Linked DNA regions of Anolis sagrei. The main gene of each other region encodes a partner of the protein of the gene in region 2 in a complex. Links are inferred from orthologs where the notes say so. Each region holds a gene or a part of one and is shown on either strand. Other genes may lie near its edges.

What was found. The genes of interacting proteins can lie anywhere in the genome.
Region 1: PRPF8 (region 2) and LSM5 share a complex: the UniProt entries of both Homo sapiens proteins name them as parts of the U4/U6-U5 tri-snRNP complex. The link is inferred for Anolis sagrei from reciprocal best matches to the Homo sapiens genes PRPF8 and LSM5.
Region 3: PRPF8 (region 2) and LSM2 share a complex: the UniProt entries of both Homo sapiens proteins name them as parts of the U4/U6-U5 tri-snRNP complex. The link is inferred for Anolis sagrei from reciprocal best matches to the Homo sapiens genes PRPF8 and LSM2.

What each region holds. Positions count from the first base shown.
Region 1 is NC_090026.1:72,054,200-72,061,927, reverse strand, and holds the start of LSM5 (U6 snRNA-associated Sm-like protein LSm5), read right to left. Parts: upstream 3,009-7,728; 5' UTR 2,957-3,008; coding exon 2,911-2,956; intron 1-2,910. Other genes in the region: late secretory pathway protein AVL9 homolog, read left to right, coding at 4,749-4,943. UniProt on the Homo sapiens protein: Plays a role in pre-mRNA splicing as component of the U4/U6-U5 tri-snRNP complex that is involved in spliceosome assembly, and as component of the precatalytic spliceosome (spliceosome B complex).
Region 2 is NC_090031.1:35,466,071-35,473,592, reverse strand, and holds the start of PRPF8 (pre-mRNA-processing-splicing factor 8), read right to left. Parts: upstream 3,015-7,522; 5' UTR 2,877-3,014; intron 1,211-2,876; 5' UTR 1,196-1,210; coding exon 1,090-1,195; intron 107-1,089; coding exon 1-106. Other genes in the region: C1QBP (complement component 1 Q subcomponent-binding protein, mitochondrial), read left to right, coding at 3,603-3,903, 5,542-5,692, 5,809-5,893, 6,822-6,917. UniProt on the Homo sapiens protein: Plays a role in pre-mRNA splicing as core component of precatalytic, catalytic and postcatalytic spliceosomal complexes, both of the predominant U2-type spliceosome and the minor U12-type spliceosome.
Region 3 is NC_090022.1:21,207,151-21,214,223, forward strand, and holds the start of LSM2 (U6 snRNA-associated Sm-like protein LSm2), read right to left. Parts: upstream 3,009-7,073; 5' UTR 2,850-3,008; coding exon 2,847-2,849; intron 1-2,846. UniProt on the Homo sapiens protein: Plays a role in pre-mRNA splicing as component of the U4/U6-U5 tri-snRNP complex that is involved in spliceosome assembly, and as component of the precatalytic spliceosome (spliceosome B complex).

The sequences.
Region 1 (7,728 bases), on a different chromosome or scaffold from region 2:
AACAATCAAATAAAAAGGAACATGAGAGAATGCTGCAATAAATGTTAACAGCAACAAGAATTGTATATGTTCCAAGGTGAAAAATGACAGAAATACCAACTATAGAAAATTGGACAGTCAAGATGCAATAAATAATAGAAACAGACTAATTTAACAATGTTGTTGATAGATAAGACATTGGGCACAATCTTAGAATAGAAACCATGTGTTGTCAAAGGCTTTCATGGCTGAAATCACTGGGCTGCTGTGATGTTCCAGTAGCATTCTTTCCTGACGTTTTGCCTGCATCTGTGGTTTGCATCTTCAGAGGTTTGTTCTGAGGACTGTTGGAAGTGAGGCATGTAGAGTGTATATATCTGTGAACTGTCCAAGGTTGGGGGGGGGGGGGGACCTTGTCTGTTTGAAGCAAGTTTTGCAATTAGCAAGACTGAGTAGAATTGAGTAGCCTTGCACCCCCCCCCCCCCGGTGGTTCAATGGGTTAAACCACCAAGCTGCGGAATTTGCTCACCAAAAGGTTGGTGGTTCAAATACGGGGAGCATGGTAAGCTTCCACTGTTAGGCCCAGCTTCTGCCAATCTAGCAGTTCGAAAACATGCAAATGTGAGTATATCATAGATACCTCTTCTGTGGGAAGGTAACAGTGCTCCATGCAATGATGCTGGCCTCATGACCTTGGAGGTGTTTATGGACAACAGAGGCTTTTTGGCTTAGAAAGGGAGATGTGCACCACCACGCAGAGTCGGATACGACTGTTTTATGAAACCTTTACCTTTACTAGCCTTGCAACTGCAGAGTCAGTCAGTGTTGTAGTCTGGAGATATCTTTTGTTTGCCAATAATAGACTTGCAGAATACTACTGGAACAGCCCGAAAAACTCACAGCAACCCAGTGGAAACCATATTATCAAGATATATCTGGGGAGAATGAAAGACTTTATATATAGGTTTGGTGACATAAAATGTTGGGATATTCATTTGCAAATGTTAAAGAAAACTAAAGTAAACAATTGGCTGGATATAAAGTGGAAGAAAAACAATTAAATTGATCGAGAAACTGAAAAAAAGAGATGTTGGAAATCCACTTTGAAAACTAATGTTGTAGAGTTGTAGGTAGAAATGTATGTTCTTCGGGTTGTCATACTCTAAGTATGTCATGTTTTATGTACAGGGTGAGGCAGCATAACTTCCTTTTTAAAAAATGTGCTCAATTTAGTCGGCTGAAGACGAAGTGGAGCGCTAGTGGTCTCATTCGAGAAGCGGGAGTATAAAGTTTTGTCCTGACACAGTTCAGTCCATCATGCATTGGAACAGTGAGGAGCATACTTTTGCCATTGAGGCCTACTTTTCGAGCGGATTTGGAGTGGCCGGCCAGCTCTCCAGATTTGGCCCCTTGTGATTTTTTTTCTAATCCCGTGTTTATGCGAACCGTCTAAGGACCCTACAAGATTTGAAGACCAACATCCAGGAAGAAACTGCCAACATAATGCCTGCTATGCTGCCAAGTCATGACAAACACCAGAAATTGCTTTACTCAGTGTATGGCGAATGGGGGACGTCACCTACCTAATTTGATCTTCAAAACTATGTAAAACAAAACTTTAGGTATGCGGAGCTTGGAGCAACGTCAATTCCAGACAATTTCACCCTATGTCTGGAAGCTCTGTCAAACTGGCTACGTGCTAACAGACTGAAGATGAACCCAGCGAAGACTGAGATTCTCTGGCATGGTCGCCTGGCAGGTCTGACTCCATTACCCACCTTCGATGGTGCTGCCCTATCTCCATCGATCACTGTTAAGAGCTTAGGTGTTGTCCTGGATTCACAGCTGACAATGGAAGCTCAGGTCACTGCTGCCAGGAAACAGGCCTTTTTCCATCTACGACAAGCGAGGCAACTGGCACCCTACCTATCTGACGAGGCTCTGGCAACTGTCATCCATGCCACGGTCACGTCTACGCTGGACTATTGCAACGCCCTGTAGGTGGGCCTTCCGATGTCTACGACCCGAAAGCTTCGTATTGTTCAGAACGCGGCAGCCAGGTTACTCACAAGAACGCCCATGAAATACCATATAACACCAGTGCAGCAACATTTACATTGGCTTCCAACTGAGTACCGTGGCCTGTATAAGATGCTAGTTCTGACCTTTAAAACTCTTTACAGCCAGGGTCCATCGTACCTTAGGGACCGCCTCTCCTTCTCCCATCATCGGAGGTCGCAACAACCAGCCCAACGTGACTTACTCCATATACCGGGTCCTAGAGAAGTGCACTTGGAAAGGACCAGACGCAGGGCTTTTTCTATTTCTGCCCCTGCCTTGTGGAATTCCTTGCCACCCTACATGAGAGCCATGCGTGACTTAGGGCCTTTTACTCTCGCACTTAAGACCTGGCTTTTTACTAGAGCATTCGATCTCTGTTGATTTTTAATTTTTGTATGTATGTATTTTATCTTTTGTAATTTAGCCTAGAGCATTCTCTAGGTGATTAATAAGTTATTAAATGATAATGATGATGATTTAAAAAAAATTCTGATTCATACAATGGGTTTTATTAAGTTTTGAAAAAAAGGAAGTTATGCTGCCTCACCCTGTATTTACAAGTATTGCTCCTTTTTGTGTTTTTGTTGTAAAAAAAATAATTAAAAATATTAGGAGAACAAAATAGAACAAAGCTGCTTCTCGAGTTCCTTCATCCCACTTCCAAGAAAACTGACAGAACTTCCCTGACGCAGGGCCTCAAACATAGGTTTCGCCTGAAGCTAATGGCCAAGGAAGCGGGGAAAGAGCATTTACCACTTCAGTCATTTATCTTTTTAATTTGCCAGACAAATATGACAGCTCCCCACTTCTCCCAAACGCCACGCTTCCCCTTCCCCTTCCTCCTCGTCGCGTTTCCCTCAGTTTGTTACCAAGAGGTAGAAGCTGAGACGGGTTGGTCGTCGCGTTGGCCGCCATCTTTGCGCCAGACCCAACTAATCAATTCCACCCCCTCCGCGCGGCGCTGCTTCGAGCCTATTGGCTAAATAAGGATCACGGGGGCTGTGACGCCACAAAGAATCGACCCGGCGGCACCGCTCAGACAGGTCCAACCAATCGATGAGCGAGCAGTCGAACGGTTTCAACAGCGGGGAGGAAGAGGAGGCGGGGACGAGCTCATCTAGTCACATGAGGATGCTTCACTGAGCGATTGGTGTATGGTTTATAGCGGGATCCAACTCTAAACGAAACGCAGATCTCAAGCTATTTTGTATTGTACGGCACCCACCACGACAAGTTGCAATGACAGCAGGAATATACACACTGCGAATACGATTGCTTCCTGTGTATTCATAGAATCACAGAGTTGGAAGAGACCTCATGGGCCATCCAGTCCAACCCCCTGCCAAGAAGCAGGAATATTGCCTTCAAAGCACCTCTCACAGATGGCCATCCAGCCTCTGTTTAAAAACCTCCAAAGAATGAGCCTCCACCACACTCCGGGGCAGAGAGTTCCACTGCTGAACTGCTCTCAGTCAGGAAGTTCTTCCTAATGTAGGTGCATCCACTCTGTAAGATTAATGAATCCTACAGAGTGGATGTAGGATTCATTTGAACTTCTATGGCTCAGTGCTATGGAAATCATGGGAGTTATAGTTTCACAAAGTCTTTCACCTCCCTTAGTGCTGACCCATGGCAGTTTAAAGTGATGTCATACAGGACGTACATAGGGGGAAATGAGAAATAGTAACTAAAGCTACTTTAGGTAAAGTTAAAGGTTTTCCCCTGATATGTAGTCCAGTCGTGTCCAACTCTGGGGTATGTTGCTCATCTCCATTTCTAAGCCGAAGAGCGGCGTTGTCCGTAGACACCTCCAAGGTCATATGGCTGGCATAATTGCATGAAGCGTCGTTACCTTCCCGCCAGAGCAGTACCTATTGATCTACTCACATTTGCATGTTTTCAAACTGCTAGGTTGGCAGAAGCTGGGGCTGACAGCAGAAACTCATGCCGCTCCCCAGATTCGAACCTGGCTGCAGTCTGCATCTGCAGTAATCTTTGCACCTAGAAATACAAAGTCTGTCACGGCCTCCACATTTTCTCCCTCTATTTTCTAGTTGTCAATCATTCTTGTTGCCATAATCTTGGGTTTTTTAATGTTTAGCTGCAACCCGGCTTTTGCGCTTTCTTCTTTCACCTTGATCACTAGGCTCCTCAGCTCCTCCTCGCTTTCGGCCATCAGAGTGGTGTCATCTGCATATCTGAGGTTGTTAATGTTTTTTCCAGCAATTTTCACCCCAGCTTAATATATAATATATAATAACATAATATATTGTATGTATAAATAGCTTGTAAGCCGCTCTGAGTCCCCTGCAGGGTGAGAAGGGCAGCATATAAATGTAGTAAATAAATAATAGTAGCAGGACTTTCTTTCTATGGCGTTCTGAGGGTGCTGTCCCTTTAAGAGCAGAGCCCTGGCAACTGGTTGCCCAGAGGAACCAGCCTGAGGTAACAGGTCAGGAAACTTTCTTCTTCCTGTGGCCCTAATTTGGCCAAGGCGGCCAGTAACTTCCCTCGGCTATTGGACTTTGTGACTAGAGACCTTCACGCCCAGGTTCCTCGTTCTGTCCTCTCCCTCCCTCCCTCCTCGGGACTGGCTCGGCCTCCCGGCCCTCGGCGGTGACTGAAGTCCGCTCTCTTCCGGTTTCCTGAGCTCTCGGCGCGAGGGCTTCGGTAGGCGCCACTGCGCGTGCGCCCTCCTTCTTGGCGCATGCTCAGTGGCCGCCTCGCGCCGCTCATCCGGAGAGTGGGGAAGGAGCCTGTCAAGAGTGGAGGAAGGCAGGCGGCTCTCCTTCCCTTCATGGAGCGGAGGGGCCGAGCGCAGGGCGACCTCCCGCCCCGAGCCTCCAAGGGGCCCGTGCTGCATATCGCCGTGGTCGGCTTCCACCACAAGAAGGGCTGCCAGGTGAGCAGGAGGCAGGCAGGGAGGGAGGGTCTCTCGCTTCCCCATCACAAGTTCCCTTTCCCCAAGTCTGCGCCTCCAGCTCCTTCTCCCAAAGGCTGCCATTGGATTCCTCTGCTTCTCAGTTCCCTCCCCCTTCATTCCTTTTCCACCCTCAGGGCAAGATTTGGGAGTATTGCTTAAGACAGGTATCTCAGGAGTATTGTTTCTTTCAATCTGGACAGGTGTCTCAGGAGTATTACTAAAACAGGTATCTCAAGAGTATGATTCCTTTCAATCTGGACAGGTATCTCAGGAGTGTTATTTCTCTCACACTTTTGACTTCTATTGCTACAAAATATAGATCGGGTATTTATTATTTATTTACTTACTGTATTTGTATACCGCCTTTCTCAGCCCGAAGGCGACTCAAGCCAGTTAACAGGGTAAAATTCAATGCTTACAATATCATAAATACAATTAAAAACAAGACATATAATAAAAATTAAACATATCAATAAAATATAAATTCTTAGTGTCGCCTTGTTAAAAACGTTGTCCAGTCTCATTGTCGTCTTTCCATTTTTCTATGTCAGTTACTCTGCACTTGGAAACGCTTGTTCAAAAAGCCCTTTTAACATTTTCTGGAATGTTAAAAGGGAGGTGGCCGATCTAATATCTATAGGGAGGGCGTTCCACTGCTGAGCGGCCACCGCCGAGATGTCCCTGTCTTGTCTCCGCCAGATGTACTTGTGATGAAGGCGGTAACGAGAGCTGGACCTCCCCAGACAATCTTAAGGTCCTGGTTCATAAGGGGAGATGCGTTCGGACATGTAAGTTGGGACAGAACCGTTCAGGGCTTTATAGGCTAAAGCCAGCACTCTCAATTGTGTCCGGTAGCAAACTTGCAGCCAGTGGAGCTGGCGCAACAGAGGAGTTGTATGCTTCCTGAGCGCTGCACCTGTTAGCAATCTGGCTGCCATTCGTTGGACCATTCAAAGCTTCCGGACAGTCTCCAAAAGCAACCCCACATAGAGTGTGTTGCAGTAGTCTATATGGGATGTAACCAGAGCGTGGACCACTGTAGCCAGATCAGACTTCCCAAGGGATGGGCGCAGCTGGCGCACAAGCTTTAACTGTGCAAATGCTCCCCTGGTCACCGCCGAAACCTGGGGTTCCAGGCTCAGCGATGAGTCCAGGATCACTCCAAAGCTGCAAACTTGCATCTTCAGGGGGAGTGCAACCCCATCCAACACAGGCTATGTAATCCTATGCCCTGTTCGGCCTTACGACTGACCAGGAGGACCTCTGTCTTGTCTGGATTCAGTTTCAATTTGTTTGCCCTCATCCAGATCATCATAGCGGCCAAGCATCGGTTCAGGATCTGAACAGCCTCCTTAGTTGCAGGAGGGAAGGAGTGATAGAGTTGGACATCATCTGCGTACAGGTGACAGGTATCTCTTGACAAGAGGGCCAGAATCCTCCAAAATTGACTGCTTGGGTGACTGAGACAGTGATACTTCGGCTTTTCTGATCCTTAGGCAATCCCTCATAGCTCGAGGATGATTGTCTTCCAGATGTGGTGTCTTGGCGGTGGATCCGTAGGTGGCTGTGGAGCCCAGTTCTTGATCCACATGTTCTTCTGCAGTGAGTTTCCAGATGGGAGGCGGTCCAATCAGGGTTGGCTTGACACGCCTTCCTTTGGGCATGTTTCTCCCTTTCACCCTCCATTTGTGCCTCTTTGAATTTTGCAGCACTGCTGGTCACAGCACTGCTGGTCACAGCTCACCTTTAGTTAGAGTGCAATATGAATGGGTTCCTGAGTTAGTATGCTCAACAAATATCCCCCTTGTATAGAAAATAGAAAATAGAATTCAATGTATAATTGTATAAACTTGTTATACTGTTCAAGTTTACAGTGATCACAAACAATATTATATGAGTTTTTGTACAGTCACTTTGAAATGGTATCAACGTCGTGTCTTCTTATGTTGAGTTGCATATGAATCAGCCATCCACGACCGGTTTTGTTCTTTCTCCAGGCCTTCCTCTAGTGGACTAAAATTATTATATACATCAAAATTTGCTGCAAATATATATATTGAACATCATATACTGAAATACATTTGAAGTTACTTCCAAAGTTATAAACTTAGCACTTATTATATACATCAACATTTGTTGCAAATATATCCATTAAACATCACATGTTAAAACACATTTAAAGGTACTTACAAAGTTATAAACTTGACACTTGTTAGAGTGCTCAAGGGCCAGGACTTTCCAGTTCTCGGTGTCTATGCCACAGTTTTTAAGGTTGGCTTTGCCAATCTTTAAACCTCTTTTCCTGTCCTCCAACATTCCGTTTTCTGTTCTTGAGTTAGGAGTATATTAACTGCTTCGGGAGATGGTGATTGGGCATTTGAACAACGTGGCCAGTCCAGCGGAGTTGATGGCTTAGGAGCATCACTTCAGTGCTGGTGGTCTTTGCTTCTTGCAGCACGCTGACATTTGTCCGCCTGTCTTCCCAAGAGATTTGCAGGATTTTTCGGAGGCAGTGCTAATGGAATCGTTCCAGGAGTTACGTATGGCATCTGTAGACAGTCCACGTTTCACAGGTGTATAGCAGGGTTGGGAGGACAATAGCTTTATAAACAAGCACCTTGGTCTCCCTATGGATGTCCCGGTCCTCAAACACTTTCTGCTTCATTCAGAAAAATGCTGCACTCGCAGAGCTCAAGCGGAGTTTTATTTCAGTGTCACTGTTGTCTTTTGTCTAGAGGTGACTACCAAGGTAGCGGAAATGGTC
Region 2 (7,522 bases):
ATTTTCCTCACATGCTCCGGAGGCATGTCCTCCTTCTGCGCATCCACAAAGCCAAACTTCCGCTTCTCAGCGTAGCGCTTGGCCTGCAGCTGCTGCCATTTGCGGGCTGCGAAAGCCAGAACACACTCACAATAGAGGCAGAGCTTTCCCCAAAAGAGCCAAAGCACCCCCCGCCCAAAGGGAATGATACTGCCAGGATCCTATAATTAAGGCCTGTCGTATATTAGGGATTTACTCATTATTTTTATTATACTCTGCTTTTTTTCTCTATGAATAAGAGACTCAGAGGGGCTTAGAGTTGCCCTTGGGCTGAGAATTGCGGTATATAAGCACAGTAAATAAATAAATAAAACAAATAAATAGAGTGAAGCCAATAATAATAATAATAATAATAATAATACTTTATACCCCGCTCCATCTCTCCCAGGGGGACTCAGTGCGGCTTACATGAGGCCTTGTCCAAAAATACAGTATCATAATATAACACAAAAGCATAACAAAACCAGAAATAAAATACATCAAATGCAAAAGCAATATAATAAATGAAGAACAAAAGCAAATCAAACATTAAAACACAGAGGATTAGGCTGGGCAAGGCCGAACTCAATGATAAATTTGTTAAACGCTGGGAGATAGGACAATATAAATTATTAGAAGGAGGATCCGGGGACAGGGAAGGATTTAATTGCACGAACCATAAAATAAAGTGCTTCTGAGGTCATTTTATGCAAAGTTTGGTCAGGGAGTATCTTACATTTAGGCCAATACAATTTAAGGCCTAAAATACACAAACATTAAAATAGAATTCAATATTAATGGTATATAAATAAACTATTATTATTACTTAGATCTTGCTATATTTCTCTAAAAAAATACTCAAAGCAGCTTATTGTAAAACCAATGCATACAATTGAAATCCACCTAAAAATATGCCAATATTAAAATATAATTAAATGTCAATGGTATTATAATAAGCAGTAAAAACTCTTAAATCTGATTAAATAACATAGACCTATGACGGAATAATTTGACAGATCAGCCTGGCTATGTCAACTAACAAGGCGATATAAGAGCGTGAACATATCGTACCTTTCTCCTGGAGCTTCTCCTCGGACATGTAGTCTGGCAGCGGAGCCATAGGGGCCGGCATCGGAGGGCAGGGCCCCCGGAAGGGAGGGAACACGCCAGTTGCCATGGCCGCAGGTCAGGCCTAAGGGAAGGGAAACAAACATGTTATTAATATATACTATTAGTATAATACATTACTATGGTATATTATTATATTGTACTATACCACTATAATGTCATATAACATGTATTATATAATATGCACCTGCCTATCTATAATATACTAGCCCTCCCTTGCCACACATTGCTGTGGTCTAGCCTGTGTATATATGTTTTGTGTTTGTGTGTATGTGTGTGCGTATATATTTGTGTGTATATGTGTATTTGTGTGTATATGTGGTTTTGCACATGCTTTGTAATGTATTTTTTTTTTGTTTTTCGGCTTTTTAAGTCTCTTCTGTTGTGTTTTCCAGTGTTTGTCAGTGTTTTCCAGTGATGGTCACTCGTTGGCCTGAGAGGGGTCTTGTGTCCAAATTTGGTGTCAATTTGTCCAGTGGTTTTTGAGTTATGCCAATCCCACAATAAATCATTACATTTTTATTTATATAACTAGCCGTTCCCTGCCACGAGTTGCTGTGGCCCACTCTGGTGGTCATGGGGGTTCTATGGCCCAATTCGTTGGTGGGGTTCAGAATGCTCTCTACAAATCCCAGCAACTACAACTCCCAAATGTCAAGTTTCTATTTTCCCCAAACTCCACCAATGTTCACATTTGGGCATACTGAGTATTCATGGCAAGTTTGGTCCAGATCCATCCTTGTTTGAGTCCACAGTGATCTCTGGATGTAGGTGAACTACAACTCTAAAACCAAAGGCCAATGCCCACCAAACCCTTCCAGTATTTTCTGTTGGTCATGAGAGAACTATGTGCCAAGTTTGGTTCAATTCCATCGTTGGTGGGGTTCAGAATGCTCTTTGATTGGAGGTGAACTATAAATCCCAGCAACAACAACTCCCAAATGACAAAATCTTTTTTTTTAGTGAAGGACATACATTGGGCTGTTAGGTGTCTTGTGTCCAAATTTGGTGTCAATTTGTCCAGTGGTTTTTGAGTTATGTTAATCCCACAAACGAACATTACATTTTTATTTATATAATTATACAATATAACAATACACAATAATGCACCATAATGATAATATATTAAACATAATATTATTGTTAATATATAATACACACACAACTATATATATATTACCGTTTTATTATTGAATATCTGAAGTTGTAATATTTTTATTGTGAGCTGCTTTGAGTATCAATATGGAGATAAAGTGGGATACAAATATAAATAAATAATGGGGAGGGGCAGTTAAATAAAATTCTTATCATTAATTATTATTAATATTAATTAATATTATTAATAAGACATGAGTCCTTGGCCTAGACTGGAAATTGAAGTCTTCTGCACACACTCTGTGTGTCTTTACTAATTACTCCTGTGTTAATTTATTGTAATTAATTAATTAATAATAAGCACAGGAGTAATTAGTGAAGTGTGTGCAGAAGACTTCAATTTCCAGCCTAGGCCAAGGAGCAAGGCCTTGGCCAATCAGACGCGGGCAGGAGGAAGAGTAGCCAATCAGCAAACAGTATGCAAATGCGCCAAGCGTGGGCCTAGTCCTGCTTCGGGCGCCTCCTTGGCGTAAACCAGAAACCCATTCTCGCTCCTTCTTTTCTAAAGTATCTCATTATGCATATGCAAATAAGCCCAATTATAGCGGGGAATAAAATTCGGGATGACTACTGACCTTCCGGCCTGGTATCTTCCCTTCTCTCCTCCCCTCCTTCCTTCCTTCTTCTCTCTTTTCCTCTCAGGCGAAGGACTCGTAATGGCGGCCGCCTTCGCCGCCTCTGCGTGAGAATCTCACACTGCGCAGGCGCCACTCTCCGGAAACGGATGAGGCGTGGAAAGGATTTCGCAGCCGGCCAATCGACGAGCGCTGAGAGTGAGGGGGCGGGGAAGGGAGAAGGTATCCGCCCCTTTTTTCTCTCAAACGCATGCGCAGTGAGGGCGGGAAGGCAACGCGCCGGAAAGGGAAAGGGACGGGAACCTTTGATGCGCGTGCGCACTAGCGAGGGAGCTCTCTTTTTTCTCTTTCTCCGGCGCGTGCGTAGTGAGAGTGTGAAGGCACCTTTGATGCGCATGCGCACTAGCGGGGGAGCTCGCTTGTCTCTTTCCGGCGCGTGCGCAGTGAGGGCGGGAAGGCAACACGCTTCAAAGGGAAAGGGGCGGGCTCCTTTGATGCGCATGCGCAGTAGCGAGGGAGCTCCCTTTTATCTCTCCAGCGCGTGCGCAGTGAGGGCGGCAAGGCAACGCGCCGCAAAGAGAAAGGGGCGGGCACATTTTTTGCGCATGCGCACTAGCGGGGAGTTCTCTTCTATCTCTTCGGCGCGTGCGCAGTGAGGGCGGGAAGGCAACACGCCGGGAATGAGAAAGGGGCGGGAACCTTTGATGCGCGTGCGCACTAGCGGGGATGTGCTTTTCCCCGCCCTTTCCGGCTTTCTGCTGCTGCTGCTTCCACTTCCGGTGCGCGTTCCTTTCCCCTCAGACGGCCATGCTGCTCGCTCGGGTCCTCCGCTCTTCGGCTTCCGCGGCGCTTCGGCCTTTCCAGGCGCGGACGGGCGCCTCCAGCCTGGCTCCGCGGCTGCTCCCCGCCGCCCGGCCCTTCACCCGCTCGCTGTGGCAGCTCCAGGAGCGCAGGCCTCGCGGGGGAGGGGGAGGCCTCAGGAGCCTGCCCTCCGCCCCCTGCGCATGCGCGGGCCTCCACACTGAAGGTGAGCCTCCTCCTCCTCCTCCATTCACCTCCTGGCCACGCGCCTGGCATCGTCCCCTGGACAACCTCCTTGCAGACGGCCCATTCTCTCACGCCAGAAGCGACTTGCAGTTTCTTAAGTCGCTCCTGACACCACAAGTAATAATAATAATAATAATAACAAAATAAAAATATTCTCTGAAAATAGGGTTTTGAATGCGTTCTCTCTGGGAATAGGATCTCTGTGCCTAGGAAGAGAATAATAATAATAATAATATATTATATATAATTTTATAATATTATATTATATATTATAATAATGTTAGAATTATATATATATATATATATATATATATATATAATAATCGTATAATAATGTAATTATGGGAGCTTTGGTGTGGGCTGGTTGTTGTTGTCATGCTTTCAAGTCATTTCAGACTTAGGTTGACCCTGAGCGAGGGCTGGGGAAATGACCTTGGAGGGCCGCATCCGGCCCTCAAGTCTTAGTTTGAGGATCCCTGGCTTAGACAGATAAACACATACATAGGATAGATACAGATATACTTACATAGTTGCATAGCTACAAAGAGACAGCTAGATTAGATAAACAGATGCATAGATCAGATACAGACATGCATACATAGTTGCATAGAGGGATAAATACAGATAGATCAGATAGGCAGATGCATAGATTAGATGCATAGTTGCATAGATAATAGCTACAGATAGATTAGATATATTGATAGTAATATATAATACTGATATTGTACTATACTAATAATATATTATATTGTATGTATATATTTTGTAAGCCGCTTTGAGTCCCCTGAGTAAGGGGAGAAGGGCGGGCGGCATATCCATGTCGCAAATAAATAATAAATACATAGATAGGTCCATAGATTAGGTCAGTGTTTCTCAACCTGGGGGTTGGGACCCCTGTGGGGGTCATGAGGGGGTGTCAGAGAGGTCACCAAAGACCATCAGAAAATACAGTATTTTCTGTTGGTCTTGGGGATTCTGTTTGGGAAGTCTGGCCCAATTCTATCGTTGGTGAGGTTCAGAATGCTCTCTGATTGTAGGTGAACTACAAATCCCAGCAACTACAACTCCCAAATGTCGAGGTCTATTTTCCCCCAATTCCACCAGTGTTCACATCTGAGCATATTGAGTATCCGTGCCAAGTATGGTTCAGATTCATCATTGGTTGAGTCCGTAGTTCTGTCTGGATGCAGGTGAACTACAACTCTAACATTCAAGGCCAATGCCCACCAAACCTTTCTAGTATTTTCTGTTGGTCATGGGAGTTCTGTGTGCCAAATTTGGTTCAGTTCCATTGTTGGTGGAATTCAGAATGCTCTGATTGTAGCTGAACTATAAATCCCAGCAACTACAACTCCCAAATGACAAAATCAACCCCCCCCCCCAACCCCACCAGTATTCAAATTTGGGTGTATTGGGTATTTGTGCCACATCCTACCTATCTGATACTTACACAACGATTCATAACAGAAGCAAAATGACAGTTCTGAAGTAGCAACAAAAACAATGTTATGGTTGGGGGTCAACATAACATGAGGAACTGTATTAAGGGGTCGTGGCATCAGGAGGGTTGAGAAACACTGGATTAGGTGGATAGCTCTCACCTGTGTGTTCTTGGCAGGCGACAAAGCTTTTGCGGAGTTCCTGGTGGACGAAATCAAGGAGGAGAAGAAGATCCAGAAGCACAAGTCATTGCCCAAAATGTCCGGCGGCTGGGAGCTGGACGTCCAAGGCACCGAGGCCAAGCTGGCGCGGAAAGTGGCCGGCGAGACGTAAGGGGCGCCTCCTCCTCCTCCTGGGTGGGGTCAGGTGGGGGTCTCCCACCCCTCTTGTTATATCTCTCTGGAGTTTGCTCACCTTGGGCTCCTCCTCCTGGTTCCGTCCACAGGGTCACGGTGTCCTTCAACATCAACAACAGCATCCCGCCGAGTTTTGACGAGGCTCCAGAAGGACAGAAGCCGGACGAGCAAGAAGTAAGTGGGGGTCCTTTTATTATAGACTAGCTTGGGTCCCTGGCATTGCCCGGGCTATTAGAAGAAGCCACTTTTTAATTGTCCCAAATGCCTAAGATTCTAGATGAACTACAACTCCCATCATGCCAGGGGAACTCCCTGAAAACCCATCAATATTTAGTTTGTCATGTTAGGCAAATTTGCTTTAGATGCATCCTCAGTGGGGTTCAGTGTGCTCTCTGGCTGCAGGGTGAACTACAACTCCCACTGTGGTCAGTCCTGTCAAATCCTTCCTTGGTCATGGAGGTTATGTGTGCCAAGTTAGACGCAGTTCCATCAATGGTGGGGTGCGGAGTGCACTTTGATCACAATTGAACTATAAATCCCAGTACGTACAACTAACCGATGTCAAGGCCAATCCCTCCCCCCCCCCCCCCAACTCACCAGTATTCAAATTTTGGCATATGGGGTATGCGTGCTGAATTTGGTGCAGATCCATTACTGTGTTGACATTGCTCTCTGGATGTAGGTGAACTATAAATCCTAAAAATCAAGATGAATCCCCCCAAGTCCCTCCTACATTCTTTTGTTGGTCATGGGGGTTTTGTGCGCCAAGTTAGGCCCAGGTCCATCATTGTGGGGTCCAGAGTTCCCTTTGATTGCGGGTGAACTATAAATCCCAGTACCTACAAGGACTGTGAATCAAGGTGAATTCCCCCCAAACCTTTCCAGTATTGCCAGCAGCTTACAGAATGGCAGTGGAATCCTAGAGTTGGGAGAGGCCCCCAAAGGGCATCTAGTCCAACCCCTTTCAGCCAGGTGGGAAGATGCAACCCAAACCCTCCCGACAGAGGGCCATGCGTACTCTGTTCACGAAGACTCCACCAGTTCTCCCAAAGGGAAGGCAGTGATCAAGATGGCTAAACAGAGGTCTGTTTTTTTCCTGCAGCCGGATCTCACGTCGACCCCGAACTTTGTTGTGGAAGTCACCAAAGATGACACCAAGCAGACCCTGGTGCTGGACTGCCACTACCCTGAGGACGAGGTGAGTGGAGGCCCGTGTGGGCCGTTCCCAAGTTGCAAACATCCGACTGACAAACGACTCACAGTTAAGAACAGGGCTGAAGCAACTGGGAATGAGGGGAATCCACCCCCCCCCCCTCGGAAGGGAAATCCACTCCTGGAAGAGTTATTGTTATCATGGGGAAAGGGGGTCTGAAATATATTGTGTGTGTATGCATTAAAATCACTACTGACCGAGAGGTCATGAGTTCGAAGCCAGCCCGGGTCGGAGTGAGCTTCCCACCATTTGTCTAGCTTGCTGTTGACCTTTGCAGCCCGACAGTTGCATCTGTCAAGTAGGAAATTTAGGAGGCTAATTAACTAATTTACGACGCCATAAAAATCTCCATCAGTGTCACAAGTGGACAGTGGAGCGATAGCTCCCCCGGTGGCTGGAATTGAGAAAGAATACTCTCACGAAGCTAGAAAGTTAAATAGCCTCTGTGTGTCTGCCTATATGTCTGTCTATATGTGTTGTGTGTCTGTGGCATTTATTTATTTGTGACGTTTATATTTATTTACAACATTTATATGCCGCCCTTCTCAGTATCAGTATTAAATATTACTATATTGTATTATGCCATTATA
Region 3 (7,073 bases), on a different chromosome or scaffold from region 2:
TATGAGGAGTGGCTTCAGGAGCTGGAAAAGTTCAGTCTGAAGAAGAGAATGACATGATTGCTTTGTATAAATATCTGGAAGACTCTCATAAGGAAGAAGGAGCAGGCTTGTTTTCCGCTGCTCTGGACACTGGGACTCAATGGAGCAATGGGTTCAAATGACAGGAAAGGAGATTCCACCTGAACATTAGGAAGAACTTCCTGACTGTAAGAGCTGTTCAGCAGTGGAACTCTCTGCCTTGGAGTGTGATGAAAGTTCCTTTTTTGGAGGCTTTAAAAAAAATACTGAATGGTCATTTGTTGAGGATGTTTTGATTGTGGTTTTCCTGCATGGCAGGAGACTGGACTGGATGACCCATGTGGTCTCTTCCAACTCTACTATTCTAAGGTCTTTGGCCTTCTCTTCCAAAGAGAACTGGTCCTCACCAAACTGCAACTCCCAGGACTCCATAGCATTGATCCATGGATGGTCAAGGGGCATCAAACTACATTGATTTTGCAGTGTACAGCTGGCTCGTGTCCCTGTTTGTAGGAGGTACAGTTCCCAGGTGTTGCTTTCATTCTTCTCTCTAAACAGAATATTGTGTCACAGTAAATGTTATATTTCAGCATTATCACTTATCTGAGCTTCTTTTGTGTGTGTGTGTGTGTGTGTGTGTCAGGAGCGACTTGAGAAACTGCAAGTCGCTTCTGGTGTGAAAGAATTGGTCATCTGCAAGGACATTGCCCAGGGGACGCCCAGACGTGTTACCATCTGGTGGAAGGCATCTCTCATGCCCCCACATGGGAAGCTGGAGCTGACAGAGGAGAGCTCACCCCACTCCCTGGCTTTGAACCACCAACCTTTTGGTCAGCAGTCCTGACCATTGTGCCACCAGGGGCTCCATCTATCTAAGCCAGTGTTTCTCAACCTGGGGGTTAGGACCCCTGAAGGGGTCGCGAAGGGGTGTCAGAGGGGTCGCCAAAGACCATCAAAAAACACAGTATTTTCTGTTGGTCATGGGGGTTCTGTGTGGAAAGTTTGGCCCAATTCTATCATTGGTGGGGTTCAGAACGCTCCTTGATTGTAGGTGAACTATAAATTCCAGTATCTACAACTCCCAAATGTCAAAGTCTATTTTCCCCAAAGCCCATCAGTGTTCACATTTGGGCATATTGAGTATCCGTGCCAAGTTTGGTCCAGATCCATCATTGTTTGAGCCCACAGTGCTCTCTGGATGTAGGCGAACTAGAACTCCCAAACTCAAGGTCAATGCCCACCAAACCCTTCCAGTATTTTCTGTTGATCATGGGAGTTCTCTGTGCTAACTTTGGTTCAATTCCATTGTTGGTGGGGTTCAGAATGCTCTTTGTTTACATGTTAACTATAAATCCCAGCAACTACAACTCCCAAATGACAAACTCAATCCCCCCGCCAACCCCACCAGTATTCAAATTTGGGCATATCAGGTATTTGTGCCAAATTTGCTCCAGTGAATGAAAATACATCCTGCAGATCACTATTTACATGGCGATTCATAATGTTAGGGTTATGGTTGGGGGTCACCACAACATGAGGAACCGTATTAAGGGGGCGCGGCATTAGGAAGGTTGAGAACCACTGATCTAAGCTAAAGGCATATGTAGCCATTTTGACACCAGCAAAAATGATACATGGGAGTTATAGTTTTGCAAGGTCTTTATCCTTCTCTGCCAAATAACAGCTGGTGCCTCGCCAAACTTCTTCTTCTTCTTAGGCGATCCCTCGCTTTCCGAGGATGATTGCCTTCCAATATTCTTGTGGGTCCATATGTGGCTGTGGAGCCCTATTCTTGCTCTGCATCTTCTTCCGCAGTGAGGGCATTGGTTTCCTGGTGGAAGGCGGTCTTGGTCGGGGTTGGCTTGACGCGCCTTCCTCTTGGCACGCTTCTCTTTTTCGCCCTCCACTCGTGCCTCCTCAAATTCTGCAGCACTGCTGGTCACAGCTGACCTCCAGCTGGAGCGCTCAAGGGCCAGGGCTTCCCAGTTCTCAGTGTCTATGCCAGAGTTTTTAAGGTTGGGTTTGAGCCCATCTTTAAATCTCTTTTCCTGTCCTCCAACATTTCGTTTTCCGTTCTTGAGTTCGGAGTAGAGCAACTGCTTTGGGAGACGGTGGTCGGGCATCCGGACAACGTGGCCGGTCCAGCGGAGTTGGTGGCGGAGGACCATCGCTTCAATGCTGGTGGTCTTTGCTTCTTCCAGCACGCTGACGTTTATCCGCTGTCTTCCCAAGAGATTTGCAGGATTTTCCGGAGGCAGCGCTGATGGAATTGTTCCAGGAGTTGCATGTGACGTCTGTAGACAGTCCACGTCTCACAGGCATATAGCAGGGTTGGGAGGACAATAGCTTTATAGACAAGCACCTTGGTCTCCCTACGGATGTCCCGGTCCTCAAACACTCCCTGCTTCATTTCGGAAAAATGCTGCGCTTGCAGAGCTCAGGCGGTGTTGTATTTCGGTGTCGATGTTGACTTTGGTGGAGAGGTGGCTGCCAAGGTAGCGGAAATGATCAACATTTCCTCGCCAAACTACAACTCCCATGATTCAATAGCATTGAGCAATGGCAATTAAAGTGATGTCAAGCTGCACTCCTTCTACAGTATAGATGCACCCCTATTAGACACGAGTGCATGGACACCCCTGCAAGCAGGTTCCCCTTCCTGAATTGCAAACGAGTCCTGTGCCTGCTTAAGAGAAGACCCCAAAGACAAGAGACCAACAATCACAACAATGGAGGAGTTTCACCCCATTGAATTAATGCTTTTACTTTCCCGGGGGGAGGAGAGGGTGCTTGATGGAATGGCCAGCACTGTGACGTCACAGACTCACCATAACAGCCGCCGGCAACTCCCGCCGCACAGAACCCGCGTGGATCGAAGCCCCTGGACCAGAAAGAACTTCCCGGGCTGCGCATGCGCGGTGAGAGCCTCTGCGAACGCTCAGGAGACGAAGCAAACGGAAGCGCTGCCTTCGCGTGAAGCAGGAAAGGGAACCGGGCTGCCTTCTTAAAGGAGCCGCGGCCTAATTCTTCCCTTGATTGTTCCATATCTTAAAGGGGCCGGCTGATTAATTAACACGGCATTTAAAAGGGAAGCGGCTTCACTTTTCTTTGGGGTGAATCTACATTATACAATGAATGCAATTTGACGCCACTTTGAATGCCTTGGCTCAATGGTATGGAACCCTGGGAGTTGTAGTTTTCCAAGAGAAGTATCTATCTACACTATAACATTGAGGCGGTTTGACCCCGCTTGAACTGCCATGACTTAGTGCAAGTTTTCCAAGAGCAGTATATATCTACACTGTAGCATTGATGCAGTTGGACCCCACATTAATTCCCATAACTCAGTGCAATGAAGTTGTGGGAGTTGTAGTTTTCCAAGAGCATTATCTATACTGTTGCATGGATGCAGTTGGACCCCACTTGAACTGCCTTGAATCAGTGTAATGGGAAGTTGTAGTTTTCCAAGAGCAGTATCTACTCACTGTAGCATTGATGCAGTTTGACCCCACTTGAACTCCCATGACTTCATGCAATAGAGTTGTGGGAGTTGTAGTTTTCCAAAAGAAGTATCTATCTATACTGTAGCATGGATGCAGCTTGACCCCACTTGAATTCCCATGACTCAATGCAATAGAGTTGTGGGAGTTGTAGTTTTCCAAGAGAAGTATCTATTCTACACTGTAGCATGGATGCATTTCGACTCCACTTGCACTGCCATGCCTCAGTGCAATGGAGTCGTGGGAGTTGTAGTTTCCCAAGAAAAAAAATATCTATCTACAGTATTGATGTATACTTAGCATTCATGCATTTTGACCCCACTTGAATTCCCATGACTCAGTGCAATGAAGTTGTGGGAGTTGTAGTTTTCCAAGAGCAGTGTTTATCTATATGTAGCATGGATGCAGTTTGACCCCACTTGAACTGCCATGAATCAATGCAAAGGGGCTGTGGGAGTTGTAGTTTTCCAAGAGCAGTATCTACTCACTGTAGCATGGATGCAGTTTGACCCCACTTGAACTGCCATGACTCCATGCAATGGGGCGGTGTGAGTTGTAGTTTTCCAAGAGAAGCGTCTATCTAGACTGTAGCATGGATGCACTTTGACCCTACTTGAACTCCCATGACTCAATGCAATGGAGTTGTGGGAGGTGTAGTTTTCCAAGACACGTGTCTATACTATAGCATGGATGCAGTTTGAACCCACTTGAACTCCCATGAGTTAATACAGTGGTGTTGTGGGAGTTGTAGCTTTCCAAGAGAAGTATCTATTCTAAACTGTAGCATGGATGCGGTTCCCCCCCCCCCCCATTTGAACTGCCATGCCTCAGTGCAGTGGAGTCGTGGGAGTTGTAGTTTCCCAAGAAAAAATATCTATCTACAGTATTGATGTATACTTGGCATTAATGCAGTTTGACCCCACTTGAATTCCCATGACTCAGTGCAATGGAGTTGTGGGAGTTGTAGTTTTCCAAGACACGTGTCTATCTACACTGTAGCATGGATGCAGTTTGACCCCATTTGAACTCCCATGACTCAAAGCAATGGCATTGTTGTGGGAGTTGTAGTTTTCCAAAAGAAGTATCTATATATATTGTAGCACTAGCCGTCCCCTGCCACGCGTTGCTGTGGCCCACATAGGGGTTCTGTGTGGGAGATTTGGCCCAATTCTATTGTTGGTGGGATTCAGAATGCTCTGTGATTGTAGGTGAACTATAAATCCCAGCAACTACAACTCCCAAATGTCAAGATTCTATTTTCCCCAAACTCTACCAGTGTTCACATTTGGACATATTGAGTATTCGTATAGAGTTTGGTCCTATTGAGTATTCGTATAGAGTTTGGTCCAGATCCATTATTGCTTGAGTCCACAGTGATCTCGGGATGTAGGTGAACTGCAACTCCAAAACCAAAGGACACTGCCCACCAAACCCTTCCAGTATTTGCTGTTTTGTCATGGGAGTTCTGTGTGCCAAGTTTGGTTCAATTCCATCGTTGGTGGGGTTCAGAATGCTCTTTGATTGTAGGTGAACTATAAATCCCAGCAACTACAACTCCCAAATGACAAAATCAATTTTTTTGAGTGAAGGACATACATTGGGTTGTTAGGTGTCTTGTGTCCAAATTTGGTGTCAATTCGTTCAGTGGTTTTTGAGTTATGCTAATCCCACAAACGAACATTACATTTTTATTTATATAGATTGATGCAGTTTGACCACACTTGAACTGCCATGACCCCATGCTATGGAGTTGCAGTTTTCCAAGAGAAGTAACTATCAACACTGTAGCATTGTTGCAGTTCGACTCCACTTGAACTCCCATGACCCCATGCAATGGAGTCGTGGGAGTTGTGGTTTTGCAAGTTCCTTCTCTCCAATGAGTACTGGTGCCTCACCAAACTACAAATCCCAGGGTGCTTTTTTATCCCCCTGATTAAAATAAAAGGATGGAGGGAGTAAAAAAACCTTGGACAACCAACATTAAAAAAATTCCTTGTCTGCACCAGATGGCAGCAGAGAGCCATTTTTTGGCTTTCCTAAGGGAAATTCTCATTACACTTTAGATCAGGCATAGGCAAACTCTGGCCCTCCAGGTGTTTTGGACTTCAACTTCTACAATTCCTAACAGCCTACCAGAATTGTGGGAGTTGAAGTCCAACACATTGGAGGGCCGAAGTTTGCCCATGCCTGATCTAAAAGTGTAATGAGAATTTCCCTTAGGAAAGCCAAAAATGGCTCTCTGCCATTTGGATCCACCAATGCATCCTCTGATAGTTGACACATTAGAGCCACATAGGAATCTTGAGGTCCTCCAGCTTGATTCTATTGCTCAGATCCCCCAAAATGTTGACACCTTCTGCATTTAAATGAATGGACACCCTCTGCAATTATCTCTTTGTTTTATGTATAGATGCCGTGAAATGCCCTTATCTCTTGCATCCCGAAATATGACTATGATGTGGAACGCCAGTATGTAAAAAGGATATTGCAGAACTTTGAGAAAGCAAATGGTAACATAAGCTTTTGTAAGCATCTGAGGAGGTAGACTAAAGGTGCATCTGCACTGTAGAATGAATTCAGTTTTGAAATTGAGCAATTTCAAGGGGTGGCAGATATTGAGATCTGGATCGCAGATAGCGAAACCCAGTGTGTGGATACCGAGATCCATTAAGTGGGTAACAGGTACCGGCAGCAGGCCGACTGTGGATCCATGCCTGGTGAGACTAAGAAGCTATAACCCAATGTTCCCCAATCAAGAAATCTCACCAGTTGAAGATAAAGCTGTCAAAAAATTAAAAATGCTCAGTTTCTGCTCTGTAGCTAACCTGTACGGTTCTGTTCTGTGCTTTAAAAATGTTTAAGGCTATCAACTCACCCTCCGCATGTGAGGTTCGCTCAGTGATACGTTTTTTTGTCAGCAAGGAACCTGCCTGCTGCAGAAATTCATCGACAGATTTGTGAAGTGTACGGTGAGACTGTTATGAGTGAAAGCAAAGTGTGTAAGTGGGTACGACAATTCAAAGATGGCCGTGACAACGTCCATGATGAGGACCGCTCCGGTCGCCCTTCTTTGATTACAGATAATTTGGTGGCTTCAGTTGAAGTGAGGATTCATGAGAATAGGCGCTTCACAATAACAATAATAAAAAAATTTGAATTGTCATACCCACTTACACACTTTGCTTTCACTCATAACGGTATCACCGTACACTTCACAAATCTGTCAATAAATTTCTGCAGCAGGCAGGTTCCTTGCTGACAAAAACCGTATCACTGAGCGAACCTCACATGCAGAGGGTGAGTTGATAGTCTTAAACATTTTAAAAGCACAGAACAGAACCGTACAGGTTAGCTACAGAGCGGAAACTGAGCACAGTTGTTCCCGAGGCATGCCGGTACACGATGCACGCGCTCGTTGCAGTATGCGCGCGAACTACTAGTGTCTACAACAAAACGGACATTACTTAAAAAATACCCCTCGTATTTTTAATTACAAAAATGTGAGCCAAGCACTGAAAGGGTTGAATGAATGCAATGACTCAGCAAAAGCTATAC